Linked DNA regions of Cricetulus griseus. The protein of the gene in region 1 interacts with the protein of each later gene in a pairwise test. Links are inferred from orthologs where the notes say so. Each region holds a gene or a part of one and is shown in the gene's direction. Other genes may lie near its edges.

Evidence for each region. The genes of interacting proteins can lie anywhere in the genome.
Region 2: the proteins of Sec22a (region 1) and Sftpc interact in binary tests that used the Homo sapiens proteins (3 or more experiments, as listed by UniProt). The two-hybrid records come from large-scale screens. The link is inferred for Cricetulus griseus from reciprocal best matches to the Homo sapiens genes SEC22A and SFTPC.

Annotation. Positions count from the first base shown.
Region 1 is NC_048597.1:54,278,750-54,288,431, forward strand, and holds the start of Sec22a (vesicle-trafficking protein SEC22a), read left to right. Parts: upstream 1-3,101; 5' UTR 3,102-3,216; intron 3,217-3,439; exon of another isoform or gene 3,440-3,574; intron 3,575-6,292; exon of another isoform or gene 6,293-6,369; intron 6,370-9,682. UniProt on the Homo sapiens protein: May be involved in vesicle transport between the ER and the Golgi complex.
Region 2 is NW_023276807.1:225,163,319-225,172,926, reverse strand, and holds Sftpc (pulmonary surfactant-associated protein C), read left to right. Parts: upstream 1-4,605; coding exon 4,606-4,647; intron 4,648-5,639; coding exon 5,640-5,798; intron 5,799-6,118; coding exon 6,119-6,241; intron 6,242-6,471; coding exon 6,472-6,582; intron 6,583-6,890; coding exon 6,891-7,055; downstream 7,056-9,608. Other genes in the region: Bmp1 (bone morphogenetic protein 1), read left to right, coding at 8,357-8,525. UniProt on the Homo sapiens protein: Pulmonary surfactant associated proteins promote alveolar stability by lowering the surface tension at the air-liquid interface in the peripheral air spaces.

The DNA of each region.
Region 1 (9,682 bases):
GCTCTTTCTCTGGCATTCTGCTTTCAAATTAAAGCTCTTTTAATCTAGTTTCCATCCCGCCTTACCTTGAGGCTGTAACTGTGCTTCTAGCCTGTGCTTCCATAATTAACCCCAGAAAGCAATCTGGGGAAATCTGGAGGATCAGCCTGTTGGCTTCTTTCTATGAACACAATGTGACTATGCTGGAATTGGAAAATGCCTGCAGGCACTTGTTTCTCAGACATGGTCTTGTTTTCTTTTGATCATGCTTTGAGATTTTGTCTGATAATAGTGGCACATGAGTGTCTGAGTTACTCTTAACACTTTAAAGATATAAACTTTATATACAAAAATTTACATAAATCATAAGCATACAGCTTAAGGAAGTGTTGTTAATAGGTTGCAATGAATAACCAGTGTCTAGATAAAGAAAAACACCAATTTTCTATTTCAAATATTAATAATACCCAAGGCTAACCAACATCCTGCCTTTGATTTTTAAATATTATACAAGTGGAGTCATGTAACATGTGCTTTTGTGTCTGGTTAGTTCACTCTTGGGAGTTGTATATATCTGTGAATTGTTTGCTCTTTTTCCTTAAACTATGTGAATAGTCTGTATCACCTATTTACTCTAAAGACAGCTTTATATATATGAATACGTTTCTGTTGAAAGTATATCTCAGAGTGGAATTCTATGTTAATTCATACTAAGAACTGGCAAATGTATAATTAGTTCAGATCTTCCCTCTGAGCTCTAGGCATACTTATCCAAAACTGCTTGACATTCCCATTTATAGGTCTCTCAAATTTAGCATAGCCTCACACATTTGCTACTCTTTGTGAATCTAAATGGCTTCTTAATCCATCTAGTTACCTAGGAAGCCATCTTTAGTAGTCCTCTTTTTTTTTTACTTGCTCCAGAAAATCTGTCCATTAAGTCCCATGAATTCCTTCTACGATTTATTTATATCTTGAAATTATCCATCTCTTTCTACCTCTACTGCCATTATTCGAGTTCAAGCAACACATTTGTGGTCTTGACCAATACAACTGCCTCCAAAGTGACCCATCAGTAATCCTTCTTGCCCTCCAACAATCTATTCTCCATAAGCAGAGTGAGCTTTAAAATATGTAAATCAGATCCCACTTAACAGTCTTTATTAGCTCCTCATTGATCTTAGAGTATGTTGCTGATTACCGTATGAACTGTATAAAGTAGTCCAAGAGAGTTTAGCCCTTGTCTCATCTCAGCCTAAACTTCTTGTTCCTACATAATCCCTGAGGATTAATTAATAGCTGAGATTATTAATTATTAATTATTAATAGCTGAGATTAAACATGGTGACCAAAAACAACTTGGGAGTGAAAGGAAGTAAGGGCAGGAACTCAAGCCAGGCATCTGGAGGAAGGAACTGAAGTAGAAGCCATGGAGGAGTGCTGCCTATGGGCTTGCTCTCTAAGGCTTGCTCAGCCTGTTTTCTCCTACAACCTAGAACTACTGGCTCTGGTGTAGCACTGCCCTCAGTGGGCTGGGCCCTCCTATAGCAATCACCAATCACAGTACCATCCCACAGACTTGCCCCCAGGCTTTTTTTTTTTTTTTCAGAGGCATTTTCTAAATTAAGATTCCCTCTCCCATCAATGTTAAGCTTTGTATCAAGCTGACAGACAAACCAGCCCACCTTCCTAGGACAATCCAAATTTTCACAAATCATGTTCCTGGACCCAGAACATTCTTTTTTTTTATATTATTTTTCTTTTTTCCTTTTTTTATTAGAAAAAAATTATTTTACATGTCAATCCCAGTTCCCTCTCTCTCCCCTCCTCCCCTCCCCCCCCCACTAATGCCCTACCTATCCCATAGCCTTTCTGCTCACCAGGGAGGGTGAGGCCTTCCATAGGGGTCTTCAAAGTCTGTCATATTCTTTGGGATAGGGCCTAGGCCAACCCCCTTGTGTCTAGGATCAGGGAGTATCCCCCCATGTGGGATGGGCTCCTAAAGTTCATTCCTATGGTAGCCATAAGTACTGATCCACTACAAGAGGTCCCAAGGTCTCCTCACTGACACCCACGTTCAGGGGGTCTGGATCAGTCCCATGCTGGTTTCCCAGCTATCAGTCTGGGGACCAAGAGTTTTCCCTTGTTCAGGCCAGTTGTTTCTGTGGGTTTCACCAGCCTGGTATGGACCCCTTTGCTCATCAGTCCTTCTTCTCTGCTTCTGGATCAGTTCAGTCCAAGGTTTAGCTGTGGGAAGAACAGAAGAGAACAAGATAAGAGATAATATAATAGAAGGAGATATTATAAATTCAAAGAGAAATCAGGCACTAGGGAAATGTCTGGAGGGCTACAAAGATGACACCAGCTAACAATCTAAGCAACAGAGGGGAGGCTACCTTAAATGCCCTCTCCTGATAATGAGATTGATGACTAATTCATATGCCAGCATATAGCCTTCATCCAGCAGTTGGTGGAAATAGAAGCAGACCCAGAACATTCTTAAAGATCCCTTAATATGTCTTGACTTTAAAGGCACTTATTCAGGGAGTTCTTTCCTGACACTCAATTAATTCATCAGTACACCTATTAAGTTTTCTTCTCTGTACCAATCACATAGTATATTTCTGTACCAGTTTTTCTAGTGCCTCTTGCTCCGATTACACCTTAAAAGGAGTGCTGTGAACATTCCTGTATAACATGCTTAACATGCTGCTTGACACTTGATAGGCATTCAGTATACGTTTGTTTAATAATACATGACCTCTAGAAGGCTGGGCGGGAGTAGGGGTGGGGCTACTGGGGCCAGCATGTGTCATTTGTCTGTCTTGGAAAGTTTGTGTAGTGGCTGACGGGGAAAGGTCCTTATCCTGTTCATCAGAGAGAGCTTTTCCTCTGTCCCAAGTGGCGCATGAGAGAAACTGCTTCCAGACACGAAGCAGCAGGTGAAGGAGACTAGCCTTATTTCCCAGGGACAGCCTAATTTTGTCCTCAGGAGACTAGGCATTCTCCTGGTGCAGGTGCATAAGAACCTGCCAATCTCCGCTGGAGGGGGCGGAGATAGGGCGGGCCTCGGAAGGGGGCGTGCCATTGGGTGCTTCCCACGGAACCTGATTGGCCCGAGTGAACTCCGCCCTCACCAGCCACGTTGGACACGGGCAACCCCGCTGGGAGGCCCCTCCCGGCCCCACAATGCACTGCGTGGCGCGTCACTCGGAGCGGCGAGTCCCAGCGCGACAGGTACGGCCCGGCCCCTCTTTTCAGCCTCCTCGGGGTCTCCGGGATCCCTGGCCGGCCGCTCGCGCCGCTCTCGGCGTTCCACCCTGGCCTGACCGGTACTTCCCGAGCCGGAGCTGAGCGGCGGTGGCGGCGGAGTTAGAGGGCTGGTGTGCGGGTCCCGGGTCCCTGAGACCCGGGGCTGTCAGCCGCGCGGGCGGCGGTTGCTGTCTGGCAGGCCTGTCCCGGGATGGGCGGACGCAGTCGGGGCGGCTGACGGGGAGTGCTGGCGCCCCGGGCTGCCAGCGAGCGGACTCACTGCCATAGATGTCAGAAGCACACGGATTCACCCGGGCTTGTAGGTGGCCCGAGAGAGCTTGAGGTGGCTGGCATTCCTAGTTCTTTTTTGGGGCGGGGCAGCTTGTACCAGTGGCGTACCCTGCGATTTGTGGAGTCCGAATGGGCGCTGAGGTTGGAGATCGCCCACGTTGGCTCAGGGAAACCCCTCGAGGCCCTGTCTGATGGTACTTTGCGACACTGTGTGGCAGAAAAAAAAAGACCTGAGTTATTGGCTCCACAAGTGGGGGATCTCCGGAGGGGGCCAAGCTGTAGCTTGCGCGAATCTCTCTCAGTAAAAGCAGCTTAGGACTTGATTGCCTGCTGCTTAGCTTCCGGGATCAGCATCACCTGGAGCAGGTAGAACTCTTCAGAACCAGCCCCTGCTGTGCTTAATTTTGAGCAGAGTCCAGTGTCGGTGGGCCGTGCTACACGTGATAGAATTCCAGCGGATGAACAGAGCAAACATTTTAAAAAATGGAATCAATTTCGGGTTACTGGTACCCACTGGTGTGCCAGCGCTGTGAGCAGTTAGGCGGTATCTTAAACATTACTTAGAACTTACCGTGTGTAGAGGAAGATTCAGAACTGAACCTGACACCCGTGACCATGTCCAAAGTGATTGAGACGTCAGGCTTTTCCCACTTAAGACGATCATGCCAGTTTAGTAACTTTATTTTTAGAGACTGCTTAAAGTTTAAGTATGTTTTAGGTTGATGTATGAAAAAAAAAAAACAAACTCGTGTCAGAGAGATACTTGTGACCTTTCTTTCCGTGTCGATAAGAAGTTAGGGTGTGTTTAGAGGTAATGTTTCATGAAGTTGTTAGAATCAGACCTCCTACTTACTCATCCGTGAGTTGAACAAATGCCTTAAGCTTTTGGGACTTGTGTTTCCTCCAAAGCAAAATGAAACTAATACCTAACCTCAGAGGTTCCTGGAAGGCTCAAATGAGGCGAATGAAGTGCTTGGTCTGTACCTGTCAGTAGTAAGGACAGCAGAACACTTAAAATAGAACTTCGGAGGTTGTGCCAGGTGCTTTTCATAAGCGTAAGACGTAGAGGCTGGTAGTGATCTTAAAAAGAGCCTCATGGAGATAGGGTTTACTCATAGCCATAGTTCCGAGGTGAAGATATTGAGGTTTGGAAAGCAAAGCTTGTCAAGGTAATGTGACAGGTATGTGGTAGAGCCTGGCTTTAAATCTGGGAATATGACTTCTTTGTATTTAATTTATTTATTTTGCACATCCTGTGTGTGCATGTGTATGCCTGTATGTATATTCAAATGTGTGTTGGCACAATGTTGTGTGCAGGTGTATATGAAGGTTGGGTGTTGATGTCCAGTGTCTTCTCTGATTGCCCTCTACTTAATTGAGGCAGGATGTTTTTTGTTTGTTTGTTTTGTTGTTGTTGTTGTTGTTGTTTTAACCTGGAGCTTGCCAATTTCAGTCAGTCCAGCTAGCTGACCTGCCTGGAAGATCCCACCTCTTTTGGATAACCTAGCTTGCCTAGTCTTCACTTAGTTCTAAGGATCTGGACACTAGTCCTCATGATTGCATAGTAATCATGTTTTGCCACTGAGGAATCTCCCCAGCCTGAACTTGACTTTTTAATCACCATACTGTGTTGCCTTTCAAAGAAAATGTCCCTATTTATTGTTATTTTAAAATGATCAGCTGATCCAGGTCTTATGATGCAAGCCTGTAATCCTAGCACTTGGGAGGTGGAGACAGGAGGATCAGGAGTTCAAGGCAAGCCTTTGGCTACATAGTGAGTTCAAACCAGGCTGGGGCTTTGTGAAGCTTTGTCTAAATTGAAAAACATTTAAAACATAGGACTTTTTTTTTCTTTCTTTCTTTTTTTTTTTTTTTTTTTTTTTTTTTTTTTTTTTTTTTTTGCTGCTTGCTGCTTTCCTGGTTACAGCACAGCGATGGAGATTTGTGAGGCACTTAGGCTTAAGTATCAGTCCTGCCGTATATTAGAGGTGAAGTTGAGCAAATGTCAGTTTTCTTATCTATGAAATGGAAGTTATACTTACCTCTCTGAACTGTATGGCACTGACATCTGCACATATGTTAGGACCCCTGTCTCTAATAGTGTGTATATTCTGTTGTGGAGCTTGAGGTTTTACACATAGTGTTTAGTGCAGGTGCCCACAATAGAAGCAAGCAGTAAGGACAGCTAATGAGGAAGACAGTACTGGCAAAACATCACAATAAATTCTGATAGTCCTTGGTACTCCTTTCTTTTCATTCAATCTTCCAGTCTGAGCATTGCAATTAATATGGTCAACTAAGTTCAATCAGTCTGACTCCACCCTTTGCACTCACTTATAATTCTCACAGAGTTCAGGATTATTAAGTTAACTAAATATGTAGCAAGTTAGTTTTTCCAAATTTTGGTGCTATCATTAATGTAAAATGATTTGGTGAGCTGAGGATCATTTTAAAAAAGCAAGCCACCAAAATATTTAATATGCATGTAAACAAAACAAAATTTTACTTATTTTAACTTAGATTTAGGGAAAAAAAACCCTAATGTCTCAAACTGATTTTGTAGACATTGTTGTTAAAAATATAGGATAGCCAGTTGAGAGACTGGTATTTGGTAAATAAGAAATAGTACAGGAGAGATCCAGATAAGCATCCTGAAAGTGGTACTTGAGTGCTAAAGCTTGGAATGTGATTAACTCAAATAAAAGATGAGTGACCCCAGCATAAAACATCTGTAGAAAACTTTTCTATTTAAATTTCACTACCTTTTTAGAAATATCCCTTGACACTTTGAGCCCAAGATCATTGCCTGACAGCCTTCTGAAGGAGAGGGGTCAACTTGAGAGGTTGGTAAGTGTCCCCTTAATTGATGTTTGGGGACTTTCCTTAGTGTTTGCAGCTCTGCCTAGATTCTAATTTGGACTCTTCTCTCTATAATTGCTGCTGGGAGGAAATGCCGAGCACTCCTTGGACTTTCTGTGAGGTTTCTGTTATCTAAAGACAACTCTAATGTTTTCTTTTTTAAGTGAAGGAAAGAGGAACCATGTCTGAAAAATGCATTTGGTCCTGGTAGGAAAAATCTGTTGTCCTTTCCAAAGCTTCCCTCTTCTTTCTTTGGTTCTGTTCTCTTCCTAGATTTTCTCAGACCACACTGCCTAGCTCTGCTTTCATAGAGGCACATTCCTGTTTTTTTTTTTTTTTCTGTTTACTTTTTAAATATACTCCCTTAAGAATCCCAAGTAAAACTTTTAAAAAGTGTGGTATGATCAGTTGAAAGAGACTGTTTATCCTAAGGTGATTAAAACTTCATTGTCCGTTGGATATTTATCCTAGTTGTTTTTTCTTTCTTGTTTCTTACTCCTTATTCTTGCTGTTCTTGTTCTTCTTGGTGTTCTTTTCCTCGTTAATTTGTTTGGATGATAAATCATTAGTTTACTCTGGGTAAGGGGAGTGAGAGTTAACTTTTTCTCCATAGAAAAATTTTTTTTATTACTGATAAGTAGAAACAACCCTCTGACAGTCTGACAGCCTTTTAGGACTTTGACAGCAGTGTTATGCTTCTGTTTACTAAAAATATATTTCTTTTTCTTTCTTTCGTTTCCTTTTTTTTTTTTTTTAAGAAATCTCTGAATACATGTTTGTCTAAAAAATTTTAAGACAGGGCTTTGGGATATAGCCTTGTCTGGCCTTCAACTCATGATCCCCCTTTTTCTGCCCTCCTAAGTGATAAGATTATAGTTATGTGTCACTTTATCTGGTAAAATAGGTTTTATCCTGCTTCAAATATTTTTAACTTATCACATCAGGATTTTATCACATTATTAAACCTTTTCTTTTTAGAAAGCTTTGAGTTGCTGCATTTTATTATGTCATATGGACAAACTATAATTTATTTATTTATTTATTTATTTATTTTTTTATTTATTTTGGTTTTTCGAGACAGGATTTCTCTGTGGTTTTGGAGGCTTTCCTGGAACTAGCTCTTGTAGACCAGGCTGGTCTTGCACTCACAGAGATCCGCCTGCCTCTGCCTCTGCCTCCCGAGTGCTGGGATTAAAGGCATGCATCACCAACGCCTGGCAATAATTTATTTACTTAATTGTCATCGTATGTTGGATTTTTAGATTATTTTAATTTGATTGTAAGGGTATACCTCTAAATTTTTATCTGGATTTATGATTATTTTCCTTGGGGTAAGGTTAATTTAAATTTACTACTGAACATAGTGGTATACACCTCTGGAGTCTGAGTCAGGAGGCTTATTCTGAGTTCGAGGCCAGCCTGGGCTACATAGTGAGTTCTAGGCCAGCCAGGGCTACATAGCAAGACAATGTCTCTAAATCAATCACCAATAATTACTATTAATGCTTTCCTTTTTAATTCTCAAATTTATTTTATTTTTTAATTTATTCTGTGAGAATTTATTTGACTATATTCTTTCCCTGCCCCCCTACTTTTCCTAGGTCTTCCCCCATTTTATTACCCACCCATCTTCATGTTCTCTGTCTCTTCTCTCTCTGTCTTTCTCTTTGAGATAATGTTTCTCTGTGGAACCCCGACTGACCTGGAACTCCATCTATAGTCCAGGGTGGCTTCAAATTCAGAGATCTGCCTCCTGAGTGCTGGGATTAATGGCATGTACCACTACACTGACTTCTTTCTCTCTCAAAAAACAAAAAAGCACTAAAACCAAAATAACATCAACAAAACCCCAAGGGGATTGGCTGGAGTGTGGTTGGTACTCTGCTTAGTGCCCCCTGCCCCCCACCCCCTCCCCCGGAAGAAAACTAAACTGATTTTCCTTCTACCAGCAACTATCAATTGCTATTAGCTTGGCTAGATTTTGTCTGTCTTGAGTTTATGCAGTTCTTGTGTATGCTGTCACAGTCTCTTTGAGCTTCATATGTACATCTGCCCTGTTGTATCTGGAAAATGTTATTTCCTTGAGGTCATCCTTCATCTCTGGCTTTCACATCCTCCCACCCCCATCCTCTTCTACATAGATCCCTGAGCCTTGAGGAGACAGGTATAAAGATAAAGACATCCCATTTAGGACTGAGTGTACCAAAGCTTCTCACTTTCTGCACATTGCCTGGTTGTGAGTCTCTGTGTTAATACCACCTACTCTAAGAAACAGCTTCTCGGATGAGGGTTGAGTGATGCACTCTATGGGTATAGAGATTGTTTTATATCAGTATCCATTTAACAGAATAATAGTAGTAGGTTTTCCCCTAGGCCCCTAGTCAATCTTGGTTCTCGCCCTCATTAACACTGTCAGGTATGGGTACCATTTCAAGGAGTGGACCTTAAATTCAATTTAAAAAAATTGGTTACTTCCATAACCATCTGCCACTATTGCACCTCTGGGCATAACCTGAAGGCAGTTCATTATTAGAGCTTTCATGGCTCATAGCTGGGTGAAATTGACTATTACTTTTCTCCAGTAGTTTGTATAGTACCTTCTATAGCACTATGAACACTGGCTGGTAGGGGTGAAGCATGTGTGTACCACAATGTATGTGCAGAGGGCAAAGGATAACCTAAGGCAGTGTTTCTCAACCTGTGGGTCACAACTCCTTTGGGGATCACAGGACTCTTTCACAGGGGTTGCCTAAGAACATCAGAAAACAGATATTTACAATTCATAACAATAGCAAAATTGAAGTTATGAGGTTGCAATGAAAATAATTTTATGGTTGGGGGTTATCACATGAAGAACTGTATTAAAGGGTCATAGCATTAGGAAGGTTGACAACCATTGATCTAAGATATTGGTTCTTGCATTCCCACTTTGTTTGAGACAGAGTCTCTTGTTCACTGCTATATATACCAGGCTAGATGGCCTCAGAGCTTCTGGAGACTCTTCTGTTTCCAACTCCCATCTTCCTGTAGGAGTCCTTAGGGATTATAGGATATAGGATTATATAGTCATGTCATGATTTTTCATGTGTTCTGGAAGCCAAACTCATAGCATCAGATGGCTTGCTCTGCAGATGTTACCCACTCAGCAATCTCCCCAGCTTGCAAATGTTATTTTCAAAAGCTTATTTGGGGGCTGGAGTATATCAGTGGTTAAGAGCACTTGTAGTTCTTGCAGAAGACCCCAGTACCCATGTTGCTGTCACAACTATCTGTAACTCCAGTTCCAACATACCAATTCTCT
Region 2 (9,608 bases), on another chromosome or scaffold:
AAGGGGGAGGAGTTTGGATCATAGGCTTAGCTAGTGAGAGGCACCCTGTGGATGAAGTAGATGATAGTGATGACGGTTGGCCTTTCATATCCAGGAAGTCATTGCAGTGTCAGGACAGCTTAGTGAGGGGGAGAAGGCAGGTGGTAGTAGTCCCATTTCAGAACACAGTAAAGTTTAGAAAAGCTCTGTGGGTTCCAGAGCTTCCAGGGAGAACACAGACCTCGGGTACCAAAGGACTCCTTGTGTTGGGTAACTGTCTTGTGGTTGCATATCATCACATGTGGGGCAGTGTGCATGCTCCTTCCCCTGTGACAGGTTCACAAAAGGCAGGGTGACAACCTTCCTCCCACCTTTCATAGTTGATTCCAGTTAACATTATGTGTGCTAAATGGAATAAACTTGGGGGGGGCAATGAAAGGATTTCAGAATCTGGAGCTAGGATAGAGGGGTCACAGAGCAGATGCCATTGACTCTTGGCCTTTAAGGGTGAATGGTAGTCACAGTGAGGACTAGCTTCAGTGAAAGCAAATAAAGAATGCTGTACCCCAGGGCTGGCCTAGAGGGCAAGGTTGAGGGCTGTGTCTGCCCAATTGAAGAGACAGCTTCCCTCTTTCCCCAATCCCTCTCTCCATACCCATCCTCTCTTCCTCACCAAGGAACCCAAGACTCCTACCAGGTATTGAGAAACATCTGAAATTTCTGACAGCAGCTTCTCCCAGTCCCCAAACAGACAGATCAAGTTGTTGCTGTTGTTTTAAAGTCGCAATGCTACGAGAACCCAGCCTAAGGGCAGCCTGCAGGGGAGACTGAGGACCTGAGAGAGAACAGAGTGGTTCTCTCCACACTTAGTGATGATGACAAGCCCCAGCTGTAGCTCCTGTTCGGAATAAGTACCACAAACTGGACACTGCGGCCCCCCGAGATGCCCAAAGGGACCCCGAGATGCCTGCAGTTCTTGGCTCTCCTGCTGGCCTGCTGCCCACCTGGCTCAGGCCCAGTGTGTGTGAGTCAGCCATCAATCTCGAGGTTTCCAGGACAACCCAGGGTAGGAGTGGGAGCCTGGGGGATGGGCAGGGAGGTGGGCAGTGCAGGCCAGCTGTCTTTTACGTCTGTCACCTGCACACAACCAAGGGGAGAGGACACTGGCTTTGCCCTCTCTTCCTTCCCTCAGCCCTTCCCTTCTTCCACTCATGCTAAGACACTTTGCTGAGCGGTGGGAGGCTTAGGCAAATATTTAAGGAGGCAGTTAGAGGGGCGAGGAGGATGGTAGGAGCAAACATTTCCTTCCTTCTCCTCTCCACTAAGTGCTCAGGAGCTCTCATCTCAAATGCTATGCTGTTGTATAACCTTGAGACTGAGGCCCTGCAGCTGGGGAGGGATCCTTGGGGGGCAGGGGCAGTTGCCAGGGCTGGAGAGAAAGGGGCCTGCTCATGATCAAAGGCAAGGGCAAGGCGCTAAGGAGCCTGGGGCATAGGCTAGGAAGGAATGATATTTCAAAGTCCAGTACAGCTGGCTGTCTACATCTCTAGGTTTGGCCTTCACTAATTCAACAGTAGATGGGACTGAGCATGGTGGCACATACCTGAAATCTTGCACTCAGGAAGCTAAGCCAAGAGGATGGCCACCAGTTCCAGGCCCACTTGGGTAGAAAATAAGGCTGTCTCAAAATAACAAGGGACTGGAGAGATGGCTCTTGCAGAGGGTCAGAGTTCAGTTCCCCACACCCAAGTCAGGCAGTTTACAACTGTCTGTGACTCCATGACCAGGGAATCTGACTCATTCTTATGGCTTCCAAGGCACTGCATGTACATGGTGAACAGATAAGTATGCAAGCAAAACATAAATCTCAAAGACAATTTCTTTTTTAAAAGATTTAATCTTTATCATTATTATTATTATTATTTTATGTGCCTTGGTGTTTTGCCTGCATGTCTGTGTTAGGGTGTCAGATCCTCTGGAATGGGAGTTACAGACAGTTATGAGCTGTCATGTGGGTGCTGGGAATTGAACCCAGGTCCTCAGGGAGAACATCCAGTGTTCTTGTCCACTGAGCTATCTCTCAAGCCCCTAAAAAACAATTTCTTTGGAAAGATTTAAACATTTTCCATATTTTTAGTTTTGATACTGTATATGGATGTTTCCAAGGCTGACCATTTGGCACTGGAAAACAAACTGGTGTGCTCTTCCCTGGGGAAGGCCATCTCTATGAACCCCCCCTGCCCCAGCTTTCCTCAGTTGCCTGTAGTTCTTTGCGTAGGACAGAGGTCTTGTGGGCTTTTCCCATCTAGTTTGGTACATTTGTTGGTGTAATCCTTGTTCAATTCACGTTTGGGTGGTGATGCTGGTGAGACTATGTGTGTAGCATCTGATGTTTCTAGGAAACAAAGTCTCACAGCAAATTCCCTGATCGTGATTCTCTGGTCCTTACAAGCCTTCTGTCTCTTCTTCTGCAATGTCCTTGAGCATTATGTGTGACGTGTTTTTGTAGATGTATCCGTGGGGATCAGGCTCCACGACTCTGCATTCTGATTGGTTGTGGTTTTCTGTAGCAGTCTCTATCTGTTGTAAAGAGAAGTTTCCTTGATGAGGGGTGAGGACTACACTTATCTTCGGTGTAAGGACAATGTTTATAGAGTGTTATTGGGATTATGCTGGTTTGGTAAGTTAGCGGTTGTAGATTCTCCTCCAATAATTATGACTTCACTAGCACTGAGTAGTTAGCTAGGTTTCCAGTACTAGGCATGGATTCTGTCTTGCTGATGGGGTCTGCAAGTAGAGAGCTGTTGGCTACTCAAAGGCAGTTTTTAAAGAGTATGTGAGAATATGCATATGTATGTAACTTCTTCTTCTTCTTCTTCTTCTTCTTCTTCTTCTTCTTCTTCTTCTTCTTCTTGTTTTTTTTTTTTTTCTGCTTTTTTGAGACAGGATTTCTTTGTGTAGCTTTGTAGACCAGGTTGACTCAAACTCACAGAGATCCTTCTGCCTCCCAAATGCTGGGATTAAAGTGTGCGCCTCCACTGCCTGGTTGTTGTATGTAACTTCTATAGTCTAATTTGTATAAGGGACTTGCATGCCTGTGGATTTGGCGTGTCCATGAGGAGTCCTAAAAACAATCTGGAGATATTAAGGGGCAGCTTTGTAGGAGAACAAGGGTGCCAGGTCAATACAAGGAAGTACTAGGCTCCAGCTTACACATTCATAAAAGTTGAGAGGTGCAAAGATGTTTCAAGTCCACCTGGCCAGCAACTGAAAGGGAACCGGATGGGCTAGAGAGAAGGTTCAGTGGTTACAAGCATTGGCTACTCTTTCACAGCATCCAAGTTTGATACCTAGTACCCACATGGAAGCTCACAACTCTCTGTGACTCCAGCCCCTGTGGGTCCCATGTCCTTTTCTGGCCTCCAAGAGTACCAGGCATGCAGGTGGTGCACAGGCAAAACACCCATACCCATAAAATAAAAATAAATAAATCTTTAAAAGGGAATTGAAGGCATGTAGCCAAGGCCAAGTTGAAAGGGTGCAACCAATCCGAAGTCACTGGTAGATGTGACTGACTTAGTACCCCAAGCAACAGGAGAGAATTTGGGGAAAGAGAGAAGGGAGGGAGAGAGGAGAAGGAGGAAGTCATGAAAGTGAATGGGATTTGGTTAAATCACATTGGGCAAATTTAGACGATATAAACAGGAGGTCAGAAGGGTAGATAGAATGGTCGAAGGGCAGAGGTGGCTGATTGGGACCACACTCAGCCCTGTGCAAGGTCATCTTGGCTTGAGAAAATGTCTGGGGATGTAGCTCAGTGGAAAACGGCTTCCCAAGCATGCTCATGACCTTAAGTTTGATCCTCAGCACTGGAAGGCAAAAACTAAGGCCTGGAATAGTCGTCAGAGCATTCAACTTACAGACAGGCCCGGGGCAAGGAGTGAAACAGGACTTATCCCCCAGTAAGAGGTTTGCAGCTGTGAGGAAAGGGTTTCCAGAGTAAGAAAAATGACTGGAGCAAATCCGAGGTTAGAGACAGCAGGTGTGGGAAGCAGGATAAAGAGGAACCGACCCTGTCTCAGAAACCACACTAATGGATCCCCAGTTTTGTTCCAAGCCCTGTTCCTCCAGTAGACACCTCTCCACCCCCATCAATAATCACCACTTTCTTAGTCCCTGATGGAACTCATGTCTGAGCCTGGGGGAGGTTATCTGGTAGAAAGGGATGGCCAGATTCTTGGCTACCACAGGAAAGGTTTGGCCTGTCAAACGAAGAGAAGCCACAGGGCTGCAGGGGCAGGTGCCAGCAAGAGAGGCAGACATGCCAGAAAGACACCCACGGTGAGAGGAGCAGGTGGCCTGAGGGTGAGTTTGCTCACCTCACCCAGGTTTGCTCTTGTTGGGGCCAAGAGGATTCATGTGCCTAGGCCAAGAGCCCTTGGGGGCTCTTGCAGCTGGCTTATCAGGGCCTAGGCTGTGAAAAACCTGGAATAAACAAGCTTCAAAGCCAAGGACTTGGCTGGCAGACAGAAGACCTGGTCCTTCACCTCTGTCCCCTCTCTCTCTGATGATATATATAGGACACTGGCCACACTAGAGAGATGAGAAGAGAAGAAAGCCTACAAAATGGATGTGGGTAGCAAAGAGGTCTTGATGGAGAGTCCACCGGTGAGTGTGGTTTTGTGTGTGTGTGTGTGTGTGTGTGTGTGTGTGTGTGTGTGTGTGTGTGTGTATTTACATAAGTGTACTGGACTTGCCTGCTCCATTCTCCATAGGATTTTTTTCTTCAATTAGTTTAGGATTAGGCTGTTAGGATGGAGACACCATGATCATTAAGAGTCCCTGGAAGAGGCAGGCATGGCAGCCATGAATTTCTGTATAAAGGGGTTGAGAACCACCGTAGGGGTCAATAGAAAGGCCTGTGAAAAACACTGCTAGAGTCACCAAGTAATTAGGAGGTCACAGAGAAAATGGCATGTGAGGCTGGGATGGAGTTCAGTGGGAAGAGTGCACTGCAATCAAAGGCCCTTGGGTTCAGTCCCCAGGACCCCATAAGTCAGGCATGGGGTCCACACCATTTGGAAGTGTAAGCAAGACAATCATTCAGGGTTATCTTTAGATATGTAAGGAGGTGGAAGGCAGCCTGGGTCTCAAAAAAAAAAAAAAAAAAAAAAAAAAAAAAAAAAAAAAAAAGGAGAAGGATGGCTCCTCAGATAGGCGTGAAGATGACACATGAAATTGCCTAGGAAGAATATGCAGGCACCCACAAGGCAAAGGAGGAAGGCATACAAGGAAGAAAGGGACTCTACATAAAGATATGGAGATGGTGCTACCTGGATCCTTGGGGAGGGGGAAGGGCACAAAAATGCTGGCTATGTCTGAGGTGCCAAGAGTCTTGGGAAAACAGAACATACGATTACTAACTGGCTCTCTTGGATCCTTCCAAACCTAGATTTTGCCTCTAACTTCCTAAGTTTCTGTGGGTTTGTTTGAATCCGACCACCTTCCCAAAAGCCTCTGGTCTCCCCAGCGCTCCTCTGCATATTCATAGCCTAACGGGGTATGAGCGTGCATCTGGTTGGTTCAGGGAGAGGAATGGGCATCCTCTCAACTGCCTGCTTGTCTCTCTGCTCCCCCCCCCCCCCCCCCCGCTTCTTCAGGACTACTCAGCAGGTCCCAGGAGCCAGTTCCGCATCCCCTGCTGCCCCGTGCATCTCAAACGCCTTCTCATCGTGGTTGTGGTGGTGGTCCTTGTTGTCGTGGTGATTGTAGGGGCCCTGCTCATGGGCCTTCACATGAGTCAAAAACATACTGAGATGGTGAGCAGGCCTGGGTTGAGCAAAGAGTAGCAGCGATGAATGTCAGACAGAGGAAGTTTGCTGGGGTGGGCAAACAAGAGCGTATCTTGAGTGATACAAGCAGAGATGGGGTAGCAGACCAGCATAGATGGTTTTTCCCCAGGCCCTGGCCTACAGTGTGATAACCACCAGTCCCTCCAACACCAGTGATCTTTAGCCTTCCTGAGATCTCAGGAAAGAGGGAATTGCGTTCCAACAGAGGGCTCTGGGTAGATATGGGTACCAAAGGGCTGAGAAAAGAAAGAGGAATGCCAGGCAGCACTCTGACAGCCTCTCCCTAGGTCCTTGAAATGAGCATCGGAGCACCGGAAACTCAGAAACGCCTAGCCCTGAGTGAGCACATGGACACCATTGCTACCTTCTCCGTTGGTTCCACTGGCATTGTTGTGTATGACTACCAGCGAGTGAGTATGCCTGAGGGACCAATATGACTTTACTGGAACTGTCTAGTTGTACCACCTCTTTCCAGAGGTCTCTCTCCATTCTGTGCCTGGCTGCTTCCCCTCGGATGCTGGAGTCTCGGACTCAGATGTGTCTCCCATGGCCAATCTAAAGGGAGTTGGCTGAGAATCAGGGTTGGGGAGTGAGCAAGGCAAGGGACCTTCCTGAATGACCTCCCGTGTTACATGCCTAGCTCCTGACTGCCTATAAGCCAGCCCCGGGTACCTACTGCTACATCATGAAGATGGATCCAGGGAGCATCCCCAGTCTTGAGGCTTTTACTAGAAAATTCCAGAACTTCAAGGTGGGTGTGTGAGTAAAGGGAGTGAGCTGTCTCCCTCCAAGGGTTGGGGAGAGGAATATTTGAAATGATGGCTAGTGCCATCTGCATGGTATTGATTCTCCTGGGCCAGATGTGTTCTCTCTGCACTCACCTGTGTTACACCTATCCCAGCTGTCAGCTGGCCTGCTGCTAAGTTGTTGGCTTGGCTGAGCTCAGACACCACCTGTGTGCTTCTGATTTCAGCCTAGTCCCTCTGTATCGGTGAGGAAACTGAGCCTCGAGAATTTGCCTGGCTAGCCTAGTGTCCCACAATAAGGACTGCAGGTGAGATTGAACATATGTGTTCTTTCCAGGCCAAGCCCTCGGCGTCCACCCCTAAGCTGGGTCAGGAGGAAGGGCATGGCATTGGTTCTGAGTCTTCCGGGAGAGACCTGGCATTCCTAGGCCTTGCTGTGAGCACCTTGTGTGGAGAGCTACCACTGTACTATATCTAGGACCCCCTCAGGTGAGCAAGGGTACCTTTGATGGTGCCTGCACAACGTTGGGAAGGCTTGGGCTTCGGGCTTTGTCAGCAAACCTACTAGGGTTCTCCTGAAGTCAGTGGTCTGGGGACGGCAGAGGATGGCAGGCTCACAGACAGCCCACATTGGAATCAAGCGAGTGGCTCCCTAGGTTCCCCCCCCCCCCGCCCTTCACGTGATAAACATCAGTTCTTTGCTTCACAGGGTCGGTGGTAACCGCATGGGGACAGGAAAGACCCGCACGCAGAGAAGGGTCTCTTGCAGACAAGCAGGAAGCTGCTCCTGTTCTTGCTCGACCCGACAGAGTAGAAGCCAGTAGAGGAGAGGGGTCTCCTACAGGCCAGGGGGTCTCCTACCACAAAGCAATAAAGCAGCCTGATTGAAAAACAAAGGGTGGCATGTCTTTTCTTCCACATTTTCAGTTTCGCTCCTGGCGGGAGCCGTCCTTGGAAGGAGAGGGTTTGGGGGAGTTGGGACGCTTTGCCACATCCTTTCTGTCTAAGAGTGATGGGGATTTGGTTCTACCCCAGGTAGTGGGGAAGGGGGCAAAAGGCGGGGATAGGGGACGGGACCTAGGTGCCATACACGGGTGTTAGGCGCCCTCCAGCGGTGTGTCCACAGGGAAGGACAGCGACAGAGACAGGCAGAGAGACAGTGAGACAGAGACAGCGAGAAGCAAGAGAGCAGGTCTCAGACAGACTGGTGTCTCAGGCTGAGAGAAAGACCGCTGATCCAGGGATTGAGAGGCAGGAACGGACCTGACAGCGTGTCCCGTGCGGGGAGGTACTCCGCCCCGTGCGGGACAGCGGCCACTAGGGGGCCCCTCGCGGGAGCGGTGCCTCCGGGCATCCCGGGCCCGCGCCCCCTCCCCGGCCCCGGCCCCAGGCAGCCGATCCCCCTCCGGGGCGGGCGGCGCTACTCTCGCCCTCCCCGCCCGGCTGGCGCGCTTCCCGGCCCGGCCGAGCACGGTCCCGGCCCCGAGGGGGGCCGAGCTGGGCGAAAACCCGCCCTCCAGCGAGCTCATTTCCCTAAAAGGGGGGGGGGGGAGTGGGAGGACGGCGGAAAAAAAAAAGAAAGGGAGAGACCGAGCCGAGGGCGAGGGGACGCCGGAGCCCAGGGCCGGAGCGAGCCGGGCCGAGCGGGGGGCGGGAGACAGGAAACGGGACGGGAAGAGGTGGCCGCGGGGGGAGAGCACCTCCCCTTCGCCTCCAGCGCTCCCTTCCCCGTCGCCCCGCTCCCGCGTCCGGGCGCGACCGCCACCGCTGCCCGCCAGCATGCCCGGCGTGGCCCGCCCGCCGCTGCCGCTGCTGTCGCTGCCGCTGCTACTGCTGCTGCTGCTGCTCCCGCGCGCCGGGCGGCCGCTGGACTTGGCCGACTACACCTACGACCTGGGCGAGGAGGACGCCCCGGAGCTCCTCAACTACAAAGACCCCTGCAAGGCGGGTGAGCGACCCCCGGCTTCCAGGGGCGCACGGGAGCCGGGCGTGAGCAGGCCGGGATCGAGGTTGCGAGCCGGGCAGGGGTTGGGGTTGGGGTTGGGGGAGGACAGTCCAGTGTGGGAAGCTGGGAGCTGCTTGGTTGGCAATGCAGTGGGGGAACAAAAGACCGAGGGAGAAAGGGAGGGGGAAGTTTGGGGGACTTTTAGGACTGAAGTTTTGCTGCTGTTTGTGGAAACTGCTGCGGCTGCCGCTTGCCGCTTGCCTTCGAAGAGGATTCCTGGGGAAATCTCCCTGGGTCTTAGCGAATCCCGCTGGCAAGGAGGCTTTTTCTCCACAGGGAAACTTTACTGGCCAAACTCCGTGTGTGAGTGAGCGTGTGTGTGAGTGTGTGTGTGTACTTTTCCCTTCTCTCCTAACCCTCTGCTTTATGGGTTATTGGTGTTTGCCCGCTTGTCTGTTTGCCATAGTGCTACACATCTGTCTGGTTTGATGCCCAGAAGGCCTGCAGCTCCAAAGGAATAGATTTCCCGGATACTCAGCCCAGTGGAAGGAGAAAGTTTTTTTCAGGGGGTTCCATGAGATACTCCTTCGTGGACAATCCTGTGACTCCAACCAGATGCAGCAGCTCTCCTGGCACCCAAAAGACAGCTGTCAGAGTCAGAGAAATCGGGCTGGGAGAGAACTTACCTGTGCCCCTGAGTGCTAGGAGAGCTCTGCCAGAGCCAAATTGGGATAGCAAATGAGCCACACAAAGAGAACTTGGATAGTCTACCTCAGGTCTCTCACCCCACAGACACCTGAGGTTAATTAGTCAAGGTCAGGGCTTCCTCTCTCTCTCTCTCTCTCTCTCTCTCTCTCTCTCTCTCTCTCTCTGTGTGTGTGTGTGTGTGTGATCACGATCTTTGTCCATGAGGACCCTCCTGCTGTGATCTCCCTGGAGTGACCAGATGACCAGGCACTCAGGCTGTTGGCGTAAGTGATGTCCCTGAGCAGGCTACCTGGAATACACCAGGAACAAGATGTCACAACTTTTCCTCAACTTCCTGCTTCTGACTTCAGTCTGTCTGTGAAGAGCTAGAGCCAGGGA